Lonchura striata: one gene and its partner. The protein of the gene in region 2 interacts with the protein of the main gene of each other region in a biochemical or structural test. Links are inferred from orthologs where the notes say so. Each region holds a gene or a part of one and is shown on either strand. Other genes may lie near its edges.

Evidence for each region.
Region 1: the proteins of LRP2 (region 2) and CLU form a complex in vitro, tested with the Homo sapiens proteins (3 studies listed by BioGRID). The link is inferred for Lonchura striata from reciprocal best matches to the Homo sapiens genes LRP2 and CLU.

The regions. Positions count from the first base shown.
Region 1 is NC_134605.1:112,889,475-112,896,726, reverse strand, and holds the start of CLU (clusterin), read left to right. Parts: upstream 1-4,158; 5' UTR 4,159-4,259; intron 4,260-7,252.
Region 2 is NC_134610.1:19,577,028-19,584,981, reverse strand, and holds the start of LRP2 (low-density lipoprotein receptor-related protein 2), read left to right. Parts: upstream 1-4,876; 5' UTR 4,877-5,049; coding exon 5,050-5,143; intron 5,144-7,954. UniProt on the Homo sapiens protein: Multiligand endocytic receptor. Acts together with CUBN to mediate endocytosis of high-density lipoproteins. Mediates receptor-mediated uptake of polybasic drugs such as aprotinin, aminoglycosides and polymyxin B.

The DNA of each region.
Region 1 (7,252 bases), on a different chromosome or scaffold from region 2:
TCGGGAATGTTCCAGTCCCGGGAAACCCGGGATGGGCGGGAATTCCACCCAGCGGGCCCGGGAAGCGCCGGGGGCACCGGGAGGGAGCCCGGCGGGATTCGGGACATTCCCAAATCCCAAAATCCCAAAATCCCGCCCCGAGGGGCCGGCGGCCTCTGTGCCGGGATCCGCGGGGCGATCCCGGTGCCGCCCCGGGGCTCGGAGCGGGATTTGGGATCGGGATTCCCAAAATTCCAGCCCACATCCAGGGCAGGGTCACATCTCTGATATCCCAAACCTCGGAGCGGGATTTGGGATTGGGATTCCCAAAATTCCAGCCTCGCCCAGGGCATCCGGTGTCCCGGTCTCTGTCTCCCGGTGTCCCGGTCTCTCCCGGTGTTCCGGCCTCTCAGTCCCAAAGTGTCCCGGGAATTCCGGCAGTCCCGGGATGTCCCCGCGGTGTCCCGGTCCCGGGGAATGTCCCCAGTCACTTTTCCCGTCACTGCTCCGGTGATTCCCGGTCCCGGTCCCTGTCCCGGTGCTGCTCCGGTGATTCCCGGTCCCGGGGGATGTCCCCGGTGATTCCCGGTCTCTGTCCCGCTCCCCGGTGATTCCCGGTTTCTGTCCCGGTGCCGCTCCGGTGATTCCCGGTCTCTGTCCCGGTGCCGCTCCGGTGATTCCCGGTCTCTGTCCCGCTCCCCGGTGATTCCCGGTCTCTGTCCCGCTCCCCGGTGATTCCCGGTTTCTGTCCCGCTCCCCGGTGATTCCCGGTCTCTGTCCCGCTCCCCGGTGATTCCCGGTTTCTGTCCCGCTCCCCGGTGATTCCCGGTCTCTGTCCCGCTCCCCGGTGATTCCCGGTTTCTGTCCCGCTCCCCGGTGATTCCCGGTCTCTGTCCCGCTCCCCGGTGATTCCCGGTTTCTGTCCCGGTGCCGCTCCGGTGATTCCCGGTCTCTGTCCCGGTGCCGCTCCGGTGATTCCCGGTCTCTGTCCCGCTCCCCGGTGCCACTCCGGTGATTCCCGGTCCCTGTCCCGGTGCCGCTCCGGTGATTCCCGGTCTCTGTCCCGCTCCCCGGTGCCACTCCGGTGATTCCCGGTCCCTGTCCCGGTGCCGCTCCGGTGATTCCCGGTCTCTGTCCCGCTCCCCGGTGCCGCTCCGGTGATTCCCGGTCTCTGTCCCGCTCCCCGGTGCCGCTCCGGTGATTCCCGGTCTCTGTCCCGGTGCCACTCCGGTGATTCCCGGTCCCTGTCCCGGTGCCGCTCCGGTGATTCCCGGTCTCTGTCCCGCTCCCCGGTGCCGCTCCGGTGATTCCCGGTCTCTGTCCCGCTCCCCGGTGCCGCTCCGGTGATTCCCGGTCTCTGTCCCGCTCCCCGGTGCCGCTCCGGTGATTCCCGGTCTCTGTCCCGGTGCCACTCCGGTGATTCCCGGTCCCTGTCCCGGTGCCGCTCCGGTGATTCCCGGTCTCTGTCCCGCTCCCCGGTGCCGCTCCGGTGATTCCCGGTCTCTGTCCCGCTCCCCGGTGCCGCTCCGGTGATTCCCGGTCTCTGTCCCGCTCCCCGGTGCCGCTCCGGTGATTCCCGGTCTCTGTCCCGCTCCCCGGTGCCGCTCCGGTGATTCCCGGTCTCTGTCCCGGTGCCACTCCGGTGATTCCCGGTCCCTGTCCCGGTGCCGCTCCGGTGATTCCCGGTCTCTGTCCCGGTGCCGCTCCGGTGATTCCCGGTCTCTGTCCCGGTGCCGCCGGAGCGGAGCCGGTTAAGCCCGCCCGGCTGTGTCCCCACGTGTCGCGACACGTGCCCGCGTGGCCCGGGACATCCCGGGACATCCCGGGACATCCCCCCGCGGAGCGCGACCCGGCGGCAACCGGCCCGGCCTGGTCCCGGTCCCCGTTCCGTTCCCGATTCCCGTTTCCGTTCCCGTTCCTGTTCCCGGTCCTGTCCCCGTTCCCGGTCCCAATCCCGGTCCGTGTCCCGTTCCCGTCCCCGGTCCCAGTCCTGGTCCGTGTCCCGTCCCCGGTCCTGGTGCCGTCCCCGGTCCCGGTGCCGTTCCCGTTACCGATCCCGGTCCGTGTCCCGTTCCCGATTCCCGTCCCCGGTCCCGGTCCCGTTCCCGTCCCCGGTCCCGGTGCCGTTCCCGGTCCCGTTACCGATCCCGGTCCGTGCCCTCGTCCCCGTCCCCATCCCCGGTCCCGGTCCCGTTACCGATCCTGGTCCGTGTCCCGTTCCCGATTCCCGTCCCAGGTCCCGTCCCGTTCCCGATTCCCGTTCCTGTCCCCGGGCCCGATCCCGGTCCCGGTCCCGGTCCCCATCCCCGGTCCCGGTGCCGTTCCCGGTTCCGTTCCCGATCCCGGTCCCGTCCCCGGGCCCGTTCCCGATCCCGGTGCCGTTCCCGGTCCCGTTACCGATCCCGGTCCGTGTCCCGCTCCCGATTCCCGTCCCAGGTCCCGTCCCTGTTCCCGATTCCCGTTCCCGTCCCCGGGCCCGTTCCCGGTCCCGGTGCCGTTCCCGATGCCGTTACCGGTCCGTGTCCCGTTCCCGTTCCCAATTCCCGTCCCCGGTCCCGGTCCCCGCGTGTCGGGGGCGGTCCCGGTGCCGCCCCGCCCCCCGAGCGCTGTCCCGGTTCCCGCCATTCTTCTCCGGGAGTGACGGGCGGGGAGGCCGTGCCTCAGTTTCCCTTGGAATGTGCATGGGGGGGCCGTGCCTCAGTTTCCCCCGGAATGTGCATGGGGGGGGCCGTGCCTCAGTTTCCCTTGGAATGTGCATGGGGGGGGGGCGTGCCTCAGTTTCCCTTGGAATGTGCATGGGGGGGAGGCGTGCCTCAGTTTCCCCGGGAATGTGCATGGGGGGGGCCGTGCCTCAGTTTCCCCTGGAATGTGCATGGGGGGGCCGTGCCTCAGTTTCCCCTGGAATGTGCATGGGGGGGGGGCCGTGCCTCAGTTTCCCCTGGAATGTGCATGGGGGGGGGGCCGTGCCTCAGTTTCCCTTGGAATGTGCATGGGGGGGGGGCCGTGCCTCAGTTTCCCCGGGAATGTGCATGGGGGGGCCGTGCCTCAGTTTCCCTTGGAATGTGCAGGGGGGGGGGCCGTGCCTCAGTTTCCCTTGGAATGTGCATGGGGGGGCCGTGCCTCAGTTTCCCCGGGAATGTGCATGGGGGGGGGGCCGTGCCTCAGTTTCCCCGGGAATGTGCATGGGGGGGGCCGTGCCTCAGTTTCCCTTGGAATGTGCATGGGGGGCCGTGCCTCAGTTTCCCCGGGAATTTGGGGATCCCGGGCCGTGCCTCAGTTTCCCCGTCCAGGTAGGCCATTAATTAATGGATTAATTAGTTAATTAGCGAAACCCCCCACCCTGGGGCCGAGTCGGGAATCAATAAATTAATAAATTAACTAATATTTGCGAACCCCCCTGGGGGCCGGGTTCGGAATTAATTAATAAATTAATAAATATGCGCGAACACCCCCGGGGCCGAGTTGGGAAATAATTAATTAATTTATCCATTAATTTGCGAACGCTCGCGCCCCCCCCCCCCGGGAATTAATTAATTAATTCACTAATTTATATTTGCGAACCGCCCCCGGGGCAATTCCGTTAATTAATTAATAAATTAATTTATATGCGATCCCCTCCCCCTCTTGCCACGGGCCGTGCCGGGAGTTCCCGGGGCAGTTCCGGTAATTAATTAATTAATTGATTAATTAATTGATTAATTAATATGCGAACCCCTCCCCCCATGGCCGTGCCGGGAGTTCCCGGGGCAGTTCCGGTAATTAATTAATTAATTATTAATTAATTGATTAATTAATATGCGAACCCCTCCCCCCGTGGCCGTGTCGGGAGTTCCCGGGGCAGTTCCGGGATTGAGCAATCAATGAGTTCATTAATTCATGCGTTAATTAATTAGCGGGGGCGGGGCCGTGACTGGAAAGGGGCGGGGACTTGCAGGAAAGGGGGCGTGGCCTATGTGTGGGCGTGGTCGGGGCGGGAAAGGGGGCGTGGCCTGCTCAGGGGGCGGGGCCTGGCAGGGATCGGACCTACCGGGGAATGGGCGTGGTTTGGTCGGGGGCGTGGCCGTGGCGGGAAAGGGGGCGTGGCCTGCTCAGGGGGCGGGGCCTGGCAGGGATCGGACCTACCGGGGAATGGGCGTGGTTTGGTCGGGGGCGTGGTCATGCCGGGAAGGGGCGTGGCCTGGTCTGGGGGCGGGGCCGGGGCCGTTCGAGAAAGCTCCGGGACCGGGACCGGGAACGGGAACCGGACCGGGAGCGGGACCGGGAACGGGACCGGGAGCGAGGTAACGGAGCGGGGACCCCGGACCCCCGAACCCCGAATTCCCGCTCCCTGAATCCCAAATCGCGAATTCCCAAATTCCCGAACCCCAAATCCCCGAATTGCCGAATCCCCGAACCCCGAATTCCGGTCCCTGAATCCCAAATCCCCGAATTCCCGGTCCCCCGAACCCCGAATTCCGGTCCCTGAATCCCAAATCCCGAATTCCCGGTCCCTGAATCCCCGAACCCCGAATTCGCGGTCCCTGAATCCCAAATCGCGAATTCCCAAATTCCCGAACCCCAAATCCCCGAATTGCCGAATCCCCGAACCCCGAATTCCGGTCCCTGAATCCCAAATCCCCGAATTCCCGGTCCCTGAATCCCAAATCCCCGAATTCCCGGTCCCCCGAACCCCGAATTCGCGGTCCCTGAATCCCAAATCGCGAATTCCCAAATTCCCGAACCCCAAATCCCCGAATTCCCGAATCCCCGAACCCCGAATTCCGGTCCCTGAATCTCTGATCCCCGAATTCCCGAACCCCCAAATCCCCGAATTCCCGAACCCTCGAACCCCGAATTCCCGAGCTCCAAACCTCCGAACCCCAAATCCCCAAATCCTAAAATCCCCGAATTCCCGAACCCCGAATTCCCGGTCCCTGAATCTCTGATCCCCGAATTCCCGAACCCCAAAATCCCCGAATTCCCGATCCCCGAATCCTCTGACCCCCAAAATCCCCGAACCCCAAACCCCCGAATCCTGAAACTTAAATTCCCAAATCCCTAAATACCCCAACCCCAAATCCCGGAATCCCGAATTCCCGAACCCCCAAATCCCAAATTCCCCATCCCAGAATCCCAAATCCCCAAAACCTGAATCGCCGGACTTCATATTCCCAAATCCCAAAACCCCAAATTCTCGACTCCCCAAATCCCTGCATCCCAAATCCCTGAACCCCCAAATCTGCAAATCCCAAATCCCCCTTTTTTCTCTTTTTCCCATTTTTTCCCCTTTTCCCCCTTTTTTTCCATTTCCCCCCTTTCCCATCCCCCCCTCAGTTTTGGGGTCCCCGGGCGTTTTTGGGGATTTTTTTGGGTTTTTTGGGGGTTTTTTGGGGGGTTTTTGGGGTGGGGGAGGGGCTGGAGCGGGCGATGCCCGGCGGGAATTTCCCACAATTCCCCGCGCGGGGCAGGAGCGGGGCCGGGATTTGGGATTTTGGGGATTTTGGGGATTTTGGGGATTTTTGGGGGCATTTAGGATTGGGGGGGGGGCGTTATTTAGGGTTTGGGGGAAATTCTTTGAGGTTTGGGATTATTTGGGATTTTGGGGTTCTTTGGGATTTGGGATTATTTGGGATTTTGGGATTATTTGGGATTTTGGGGAAGTTATTTGGGATTTGGGATGGTTTATTTAGGATTTGGGGGAAATTATTTGGGATTTGGGATACGGGAAGTTGTTTGGGATGGGTTCTTTGGGATTTGGGGTGATTTGGGATTTTGGGGGGTTCTTTGGGAGTTCTTTGGGATGCGGGATGGGGTTTTTTAGGATTTGGGGTTTTTTATTTGGGGGCGTTGTTTGGGGTTTGGGAGGTGGTTTTGGTTTATTTGGGTTTTATTTGGATTTTATTTGGACTTTATTGGGATTTTATTTGGGTTTTATTTGGGCTTTATTTGGGTTTTATTTGGGTTTTATTTGGGTTTATTTCAGTTCCTTTCCAAAGTTTAGCTTTTGTTCGAGTTTTATTTGGGTTTATTTGGGTTTTATTTGTGCTTATTTTGTTTTATTTGGGTTTATTTCACTGTATTTCCGTTGTTTTGGGTTTATTTGGGTTTATTTGGGTTTTATTTTGTTTTATTTGGGTTTATTTCAGTTCCTTTCCGTTGTTTGGGTTTATTTTGTTTTATTTGGGTTTATTTTGTTTAATTTGGGTTTATTTCAGTTCCTTTCCGTTGTTTGGGTCGGTTTCGGGTTTTTTTGGGATTTCACAATCCCGGAGCGGGCGGGGGAGGGGGGGGCGGGGCCGCTCCTTCTTTGGGTTTTTTGGGGTTTTTTTGGGGGGTGGGAGCTGCTCCTTTTTTGGGTTTTTTTTTTTTTGTTTTTTTTGGGTTTTTGGTTTTTTTTTTTTTTTTTTTTTGGGGGGGTTTTTTTGGGGGGGGGCGCTCCTTTTTTGGGTTTTTCTTTTGTTTTTTTCGGGGGGGGGCCGCCTCTTTTTTGGGGTTTTTTTGGGGGAGCCGCTCCCTTTTTTGCATTTTTTGGGGGTTTGGGGGGGTTTTTTTGGGCGGGGCTGCTCCTTTTTTGGGGTTTCTTTTTTCTTTTTCTTTGGGGGTTGCGCTCATTTTTTGGGGGGACACTCCTTTTTTTGGGTTTTTTTTTGGGGGGAGGGGGCGCTCCGCTCCTTTTTTTGGGTTTTTTTTGGTTTTTTGGGGGGGGGGGCGCTTCTTCTTTTGGGGATTTTTGGGGGGTTTTTGGGGGGGCCGCTCCTTTTTTGGGGGGGCATGGCCAGACCCCCCCGTCCCCATCCCCCCGACCCTGACCCTGTCCCCAGGCTGTGTCCCCAAATGTCCCCCAATGTCCCCAATTTCCCCAAATGTCCCCAATGTCCCCAATGTCCCCCCAAATGTCCCCGATGTCCCAAATGTCCCCAAATGTCCACAATGTCCCCAATGTCCCCAGTGTCCCCAGTGTCCCCCAATGTCCCCAATGTCCCCCAATGTCCCCCAATGTCCCCCAATGTCCCCCAATGTCCCCCCAGTGTCCCCAATGTCCCCAATGTCCCCAATGTCCCCAATCCTCCAATCCCCCAGTGTCCCCAATGTCCCCAATGTCCCCAATGTCCCCAATCCTCCAATCCCCCAGTGTCCCCAATGTCCCCAGTGTCCCCAATGTCCCCAATGTCCCCAGTGTCCCCAATGTCCCCAATGTCCCCCAATGTCCCCAATCCCCCAATCCCCCAGTGTCCCCAATGTCCCCAATGTCCCCCCAATGTCCCCAATGTCCCCAGTGTCCCCAGTGTCCCCA
Region 2 (7,954 bases):
AAGCATTTCATCCTAGCTGTTGGAGGAATGAGACCTAACTGTTTTTAGTATGAGTCTCAATTACAAAGATGTTTATCCTGAACAGACCTCACACCTGTTATTAATAGGAAAGTAAAACAATTAAAAGAGTAAAGGAGATTCAGAGTTATTCCAGCCTATCCTCTTTTCCTTGTGAATTCCCTATAAAGATTTTAGATAAGTAATTTGTAAATGCTTCTTTACCTCCCATTCCTTTTCAAGTACAAATCCCATTTGTTGCTTCCTTGCAGGGCAGAATGGCACTGAAGGGCCAGTGAATTGGAGCAAAAATAAGGACCTTTGTTCTTTAGAAACAGAAAGTTCCAAAGAAATCTATTTGTAGTAAGGTAAGTACCATGATCTTTGGTAGTTAGAGATGTAGCTGAGGTAAAGCATACTTGCCCTTACTTTGTGACCGTGTCTCCAGGATGGGGAACAGGGACTTCCAGGGTGGACCAGACAGTTCTGACCAAAGGACAACTGTAATCTGTTTAATCTTTCTCCACTTTCTTCTGCCTTCCAGGTGAATAAAAAAACCTCTGTCATCTCTACATGGTTACTGTTAAACTCCAACACAGGCCTATTTCTGCAGATGAAATATACCTGGGGTGTTTCAGAAGCTCCTTTACTGACTGTGTTTCTACTAGTCTCACTTGTTCAGTGGCAGTTACCAAAAAAGTTCCCATGTTCTTGCTTCTTGTTCCAGGATGCAGTAATATAATGCCAGGTTGAAAGAGAGAAGTTATAATATGTCACTAACCAGAAGACCTCGAGGAAACTTTTGACCACAGTGCTAGCTGCATTGTGCAATTCTGACTCTGATTTCTGTTCTGGACCAATTCACCTCTCCTCAGCTTAATGTTTCTCACTTTCATGTGGTCTGGAGATGCACTTTTGATCTAGTCTTCTGGAAATCTGTGCTTTAGTTACCAATATGCATTAGATGTTTGGGTATTATATCAACTAAGGCTCTCTTTTTCTTAGTTTGAGATTAGGTGGATTTTTTTTTTTTTTTTTGTCTTTAAATCCTTGGAAGAAAATACTTTCCTGGCAAACAATTTCCATTGTTTTAGATACTGTGAAATGTGATGTGGCTTATATGAGAAACTTGGTGAACTTGGGGCCATTGTCTGTTTGGGTTTTTTTGTGTGTTGTAAAGTTGAAATTAATACTGGTTCTTTGCATAAGATGCATGTTCCCTAAAACATGATTTAAGGAAACATCTGCTCACAACACATGTATTTGAAAAAAATAAATGGTGAAGTGCAAATACACATTGCTACTGTGGATCCCCATGAAAACAGCTTAATCTGCTTTCCCTGAAGTCTGTCTTTGATGCAAACTGAAGAGGGCCTTAGGTGAATGAAATGTCTCAAAAATAGTATCTCTGAAGAGCCCATCCTGCCTTTAATAGTCTGTTAAGAAAGCAAGACTCTAACACACTCAAACACACACACATTGTTGCTTGCTATAAAACTAAGGTTCAGTTAAAGAAACTGGACACTTTAGATTGTAGAATAGCAAAGGTGGATGAAATTTGAAGAGTTAATTGCTGCTGTTTGGTACTTATGTTATTGCCCAGGCAGAGAGACTGTCTTTAGTTTAGATTTGTAGGATTTGTCATTACCAGTGTTCTCCCAAAAAAATGAGCATGGCTTTAGTATATTTAAAATGTAGCCTTGCTTTAGCATGATTGCGCAAAAATAACAAAACAAAACAAAAAAAAACCTTGTAATGATAAAGGCATAGGATTTAATGATTAAACTTTAAATGTGAATTGGAAACATAGCTTGTAACTTAAAATGTTTTCTGTGTGGAAGCACCTGGGTTTATCTGAGGACAGATTGACCACAAGATTACTGAATGCCAATGGCAATTACAGCCTTATTGGATAATGCACTGGACAGATCCTTAGCCTCTGTAAACTGCCCTAGCTCCAAGAAGTTCAGAAGAGACAAATTTACAGATCTGATCCACATTTTCCTATAGTGAAAGTATATATGTTTTTTACTTTCCTTAACCATCAGCTCTCTATCTTTATCTAGTCATATATCAACCCTGATGTTTCTGTCTGTGAAGAACTGCACGAGTTTGGACACTAATTTAGACTGAACTTTGGTCAAAAATGAAGCCTTTTAATTTTTAACTTCCTTGCTTAGCAGATATCTTTAATAAGTAAGCAGTGTCGTTGTTAGTTCTAAATTACACCTTTAACTGCTTTTCTGAGTGCTTGCTTACACTAAAAACCAGGCAAGCAAAAACATCCCAAACTGTATTTTAAATCAAAAGTAGAGCCCAATGAACAACTGCATTGCCTATGTTTTCTCCTTCTAACCTTCGAACAGACCTAGTCTCCATCTTCTTGAACATGCATAATCAACTGAAAATCCGTAGGTGTAGTTCAGTAACAAATCATGAGCTGCCAACAGGAACAGTCAACAGAAAGATGAGAAAAAGAGATGTGTTGCACCTACGTGGGCAATTTTGGGTGTAGTTATGGGAAAGCCTTGAGGAGTTTTTATTCTTGTCTTGATGTATCTAGTCTTGAAGAAGTTCCATTCAATGGTGTCCAGCAAGACAGGGTCCCTTTAGTTGGATGATGAGGTGCCATGGTAAAGTGAGAGGAGAAAATTTTAGTTTAAGTAAATAGAGGTTAGACTTCTCCTGTGCTGGTTCCATTGTTACTATTGTTCAGCAGTAAAATATCTGGGCCTATCAGTTTATATGTCTCTAAATGAAAACTTTGTCTTGTGAGTGCAAAGAATAATGGGTGAGAAGGGCATGACCCACCATCTCAGCTCACTGTCAACATCATCGCCACCATTCCTGTTGGAGACTCCTTCTAGGCTCTCACCTATGGGAAAAACAGATGTGTAGAAATGGTGATGGTGAATGGGGCAGGAACACACCTTCTGGCTGCCAGCTGTGAGGGAGTGAAACAGGTAGGTGCCTCCCAAAGCTTGCATCCAGGTCACTTCAAGCGTACAGTGACATTAGATTACACATACCTCCTGGCCTGGGGATGCAGCTCCCAAGCACTGTTTACCCTCTCTGCCTCTTGCTGGGATGTGAACTGCTTTAAACAATTCCTCTTCTAATGAAGTACGGTCAGTCTGTGTTGGCTTTGCAGGCACCCATCTGTAGAGAACAGATCTGCTTGCTCCTCTCTCTGAGGATCCCTTCGTTCCCGCCCCATCGGCCTTGCTGGGAGATTAAAGTAGCAGCGGCCCCATACACAAACGCAGCTGGTTCCGTTTGGTCAGCCTGAGCCTTGCTGTGAAACCACGACAAGAATTCCAGTAAGTTGGCAACACTGAAACACAAAGAAAACAACAATAGGAAAAGACCTTCCGTGCAGAAAGGAATGTTTCAGGCGCTATTCCCCTACAGAGAAAGGAGAGAGGGTGGGAGGGAGGAGGGAGATTTGAAGAGGGCATGTCTCCCCCTCCCCCGGCAGCTCTGGATCTTGTGATGGAGAGATCTTATCCTCTCTTTGTGATTCAGAGGTGCCAGGAAGCTAATTGAATATTCTGATCTGCCCCCAGTGTTTCTTGTGGCTTGACCCCGGTGCTGTGTCGTACCACCACACCAAACAGCCCTGAACCTGCATAAATCACAACCTTGCAAAAGCCTATGCTCCACATCTTCTCTCCCCACCCCCCTCTTTACTATCTTGATAGATAGAAAGCCTTTACGGAAAGGTTTAGAGGGATTAGCGTCCTACAGGACCTGGAGAGAAATCACAGTCTGCTAATAAGCAGCGACATGTTCCTGTGCAACTTCTGCAGGAACAATACAGGCACCTCTACCTTTTTATTGAACTTGCAATCCATGGCAAAAAGAAGAATTAAGGTTTGAAATATTGCTTAAGTTCTTTTGCAGCATCAGCAAACAGCCCTTGCAGTATAATGAGCATGGCATGATGCTAATGCAAAAGATATGTGGTATCTGTAAAGGTGGTGTCATTAAAATTAATCTGACAGAACCTCTTGGAAGACAAATAGAGCTATCCTTCTCTCATGATATGTATGCACAGTAGTCACTGTTGACGTGCATGTGCATATGTGTACATATATGAAGAAAGTATAGCTTGGCATAACTAAATTTCCAACATGAAAGACTGTTTTTGACTACTAAAAAATTATTTAACTCCACGCATTTTATATATGATGCTTCTGATCCTGCAAGCAAAGCCTCTAAAAAGTTTGTTCTTTTTACCAAGGCTGCATTCCAGCCTGAAGTTAATCTTTATCTTCTCCCTGTGATCCTACACACTACTCTTCCCTTGTTAGTGTATATGGTTCCTGAAATGGCAGCAGTAAAACACAGGGAGATATTTCTTTGTGTATTGCACACACTGTTGGAGAGTTAAAACTAAAGGAGCATATCTCTAGTTGGTATCTTGAGAATTCACAGCTAAAGCACTTTACCAAACTGATTTTATCTGCTAAGAAAGTGCAAAAGTAAATTTCATCCCCACAGTTTTCCTTTCATAGTGTTTGTTGTGAGCACTACTAATTTCTAAGCTTTTCCTCTGTCTGCATCAGTGAGTAGATGCTAGATTTTTTTTCAGAGTTATCAAAAATACTTTTTCTTATTTGGGACACTAAAACCTATGACATTCATTACTTGCCACCCGCAGTTCCCAGAACTACTCAAAATAGATGAGCACATTAAATACAGCACCAATGGACTCTGATACGAAGTGAGCAAAGTGCAGGGTCTTGGAAGCATCTTGGCTATCCTGCAAAGTGTGGAAGGAGGGGCAGAGGGAGCCTGTGGCCGCAGGGCCTGGAGCACTGCCTGATTCCCTCATGCTGGTTCCGGGGCCGCCGGGTATAAAGAGCTTTATGCAATGTCTGGAGGGTGGGAGTTTATAGAAAACGCGATGTCTCAACAGGCGAACACGCCTTTCTTCTGCAACTAGCAGGACAAGAAAAAGATACCAGGCTCCTTGTGCTGGTGCTGTGCAGATCAGCACCCCGGAGTCCAGAAGCCAGCTTCTGAGAAAGCTGGAGCATCCCAACCCAGATGGGACCTCACCATCGGATGGATGGAAGAGCAACAACTGCTTGCAAACTGCTCATATTATTCACTGCATGCCTGATGCAGGGCAGTTGCCAAGGTAAGTGCTATGCTCCAGCCTCTCCGGAATAGAAATTGCACCGTAAGGAGCATATCCCTACTCTGGGGACTTTTATAAGAGAAAGATAAGGTGACTGAAAGTAGAGGGTTAACAGGCACTGATTCAAGGAGTTCTTTCTAATAGTTAGGGGAGACAGTTGGCTCTTTCCAGGAGTCATTTGATGGAGTCGGTTTCTGTTGTGGAAAAGTAAGTAGCGCCTTAAAAGCACTGCAAACATCACCGATTCTTCAGCTTAACTTCATCTTGATTTCAGATTATCGTAGGATGCTTCCTTTGATTGTTTTTCTAGTTTGTAGAAACTTTTTTTTTCCCTAGTTGTGTGTGTAAGCAACAGACAAATGTGGCTAATTTTTGATGGACATCTCAGACTTTGCAATTCCACGGTCTAAACGCATGGTTTTATGGAAATGCCAACAGGCAGGTTTTTCTGCGAGTCCTGATTACTGGCTGTGAATAAGGCCAAAAAAACCCCAAAAACAAGCAAACAAAAACACCCCAAAAACCAAACCACCCCCACAAAAAACCAAACAAATAAAAAACAAAAAAAAAAACACCAAAAAACCCCAAAAACAAAACAAAAAAACCCCAACCACCCCAGACTTTTTGCGTTTTTTCCTTGTGGTATTTGTGCCTTTCTTGCTACTGAAATACGGGTGATTTTACAGAGCAGAGTTCACCTGCATTCCACGAGCTGGTTTGGTAACCACTAAAATTGTACCTAGAGTTGTTTTTGTTGAGGAGTGCACAGCACTTGCACGTAGACAGGTTGGGTCGGGGGGCAGGGGGTTATGCATGGACATGCTTGCGTACGTGTGGTATATGCAGTCATTTACAGAAAGCTATAAGAAAGAAACAGATGCTTAGTCTGGAGCACAATAAGCTCCCCTCAGTCGGTCTCAGACGCAGATTTGAAGTTGAGAGAGGGAGAACTTTTTCTCTGGGCTTTACTGTTGCTAGGCGACATGGAGGAGCATGTGACTGGCAGAGCAGGCTGAGTGCCGCTCCTCCAGTGCTAATCTGGCTGCTGGGGATGGAGCAGCCGTGTGCCCAAGTCCTCCCTCCGGCCTCTGCAGCCGATATCCCTGCCTCCCCTTCTTCAGCTGTTTATTTGCCTTGCACTGAAAATCAAGCCTGTCGTGTTGGAGCACGAGTGGCTAAAGTGCATTTTTCCTCCGCCCCGCCTATTGACCTGCAGTTCTGCTGCTTCTGTGTGTGTCTGCATATTACGTGTGTGTTCAAATGGTTAATCTGCTTTCTTTGCTCAACTCTTAGTTTAAGCTCCTTAGACAGAATCAACTAAGTAATTATACAGCAACTGCTGTTAGCAGCTCCCACTTATGAACAAGGAAATAAGAGATAGCTAATGTGCTGGAGACCTGCAAAAACTCCAGCCAAGGAGGTCACACTGGGCAGAATTAATCCTATGCACTATTATTTTACATTGGGTAGAATGGAACTTGCAGTACAGATAAAATTTTTTTGTTGTTGTTCTGTAACTGCTTCTGATTGTCCAGAACATATCTGATAAAAGACATGACAGAACAAGCAGAGATAGGCTTTGAACTAGCATCCATAGTAGTATCCATACAGATTTTTTTTTTTTTTACTTTTATGATGTTCCTTCTGCTCTTTCTCCCAATCTCCCCTCCCCCCTGCCTCCACAGTAGAATAACTGTGGAAATCAAACACTATAATTTTAGTAATGGGTGACTGATACTAGGAAAATACCTGGATAGCAGGTATTTTGCCTGCACTTTGATTATGGCAGTGGAATATTTGTTAACCATAAATTACAGTTCCTTGAATGCTAAGATCATGTCAGACTCTTATTTCAAAAAGAAAATTTGAAGAACCATGAAAGCAATCCCAAGCCTTTGAAGGAAAATGGTGAAAATCTCTTATTTTGCCTTATCCTCAGTATTTCCAAAGGCACTTCACTGATGTTTTTTGAGATTTTTTTTTTTGGCAATTTTTGAGTGTTCCCAATATAAGATGGATGTTTCTAGAAGAATTTCACCTACACAATTCACCTTGTTCAATTGGTAGTACTCTTTTGCGATTTACCTAATTCTGGTTCTACTGAGAGTAACTGTAGTGCTCATAAACAGAATAAAAAAGTTTTGTAATTGCCAGCAGTACAGGGTCTGTTTCTCCTGCCTTTATAGGTCTTGTTGTCTGTGGGGTAATTGTTGTCAGAAAAAAGTGTAGCTGGAACCTAAAAAGTAGTTAAGTGAAGGCAGTGTCAAGCAGGAGCATTGTGGGACTATTGCTTATGTTTGTTTTGGGGAATATCAAAGTGCTTCACACTCAGCCATAAACTACAGACAATGGATGGATGTTAGTGCACCAAATTTGATTTGTATCCTGCACCTCTGCAATGATAAATTATCAGCTTGATACGTCCCAGGCAAATATGGCTAAAATTTTTTTACCATTATGAGGTCTCTATTAATCTGAGAATGAAGACTATTCTAAGAATGAATGCATATGGTGTGATAAGATATATAATCACAATGAACATTTGCATGAAGTGTGGCAGGCCATTAAGAAATAGGTATGGTAAGACCAAGTAGAGAAGAGTTACAGCAGTTCTTTCTGGAAGTCATGGAGAAACATGTTTTCCATAAGGCATTGTAATAGTTCAATCTCCAAATCAATAATTCAGTGTTTTTTAGATATTGTTTTCATTCAAAATTATTTAATTTTTCTGTAGGATGATGTACAGTGACATTGCTATGGGCGACAGGTCAGAGTCACTATTCATACTTCCTTGTACAGCACTGTGCACTT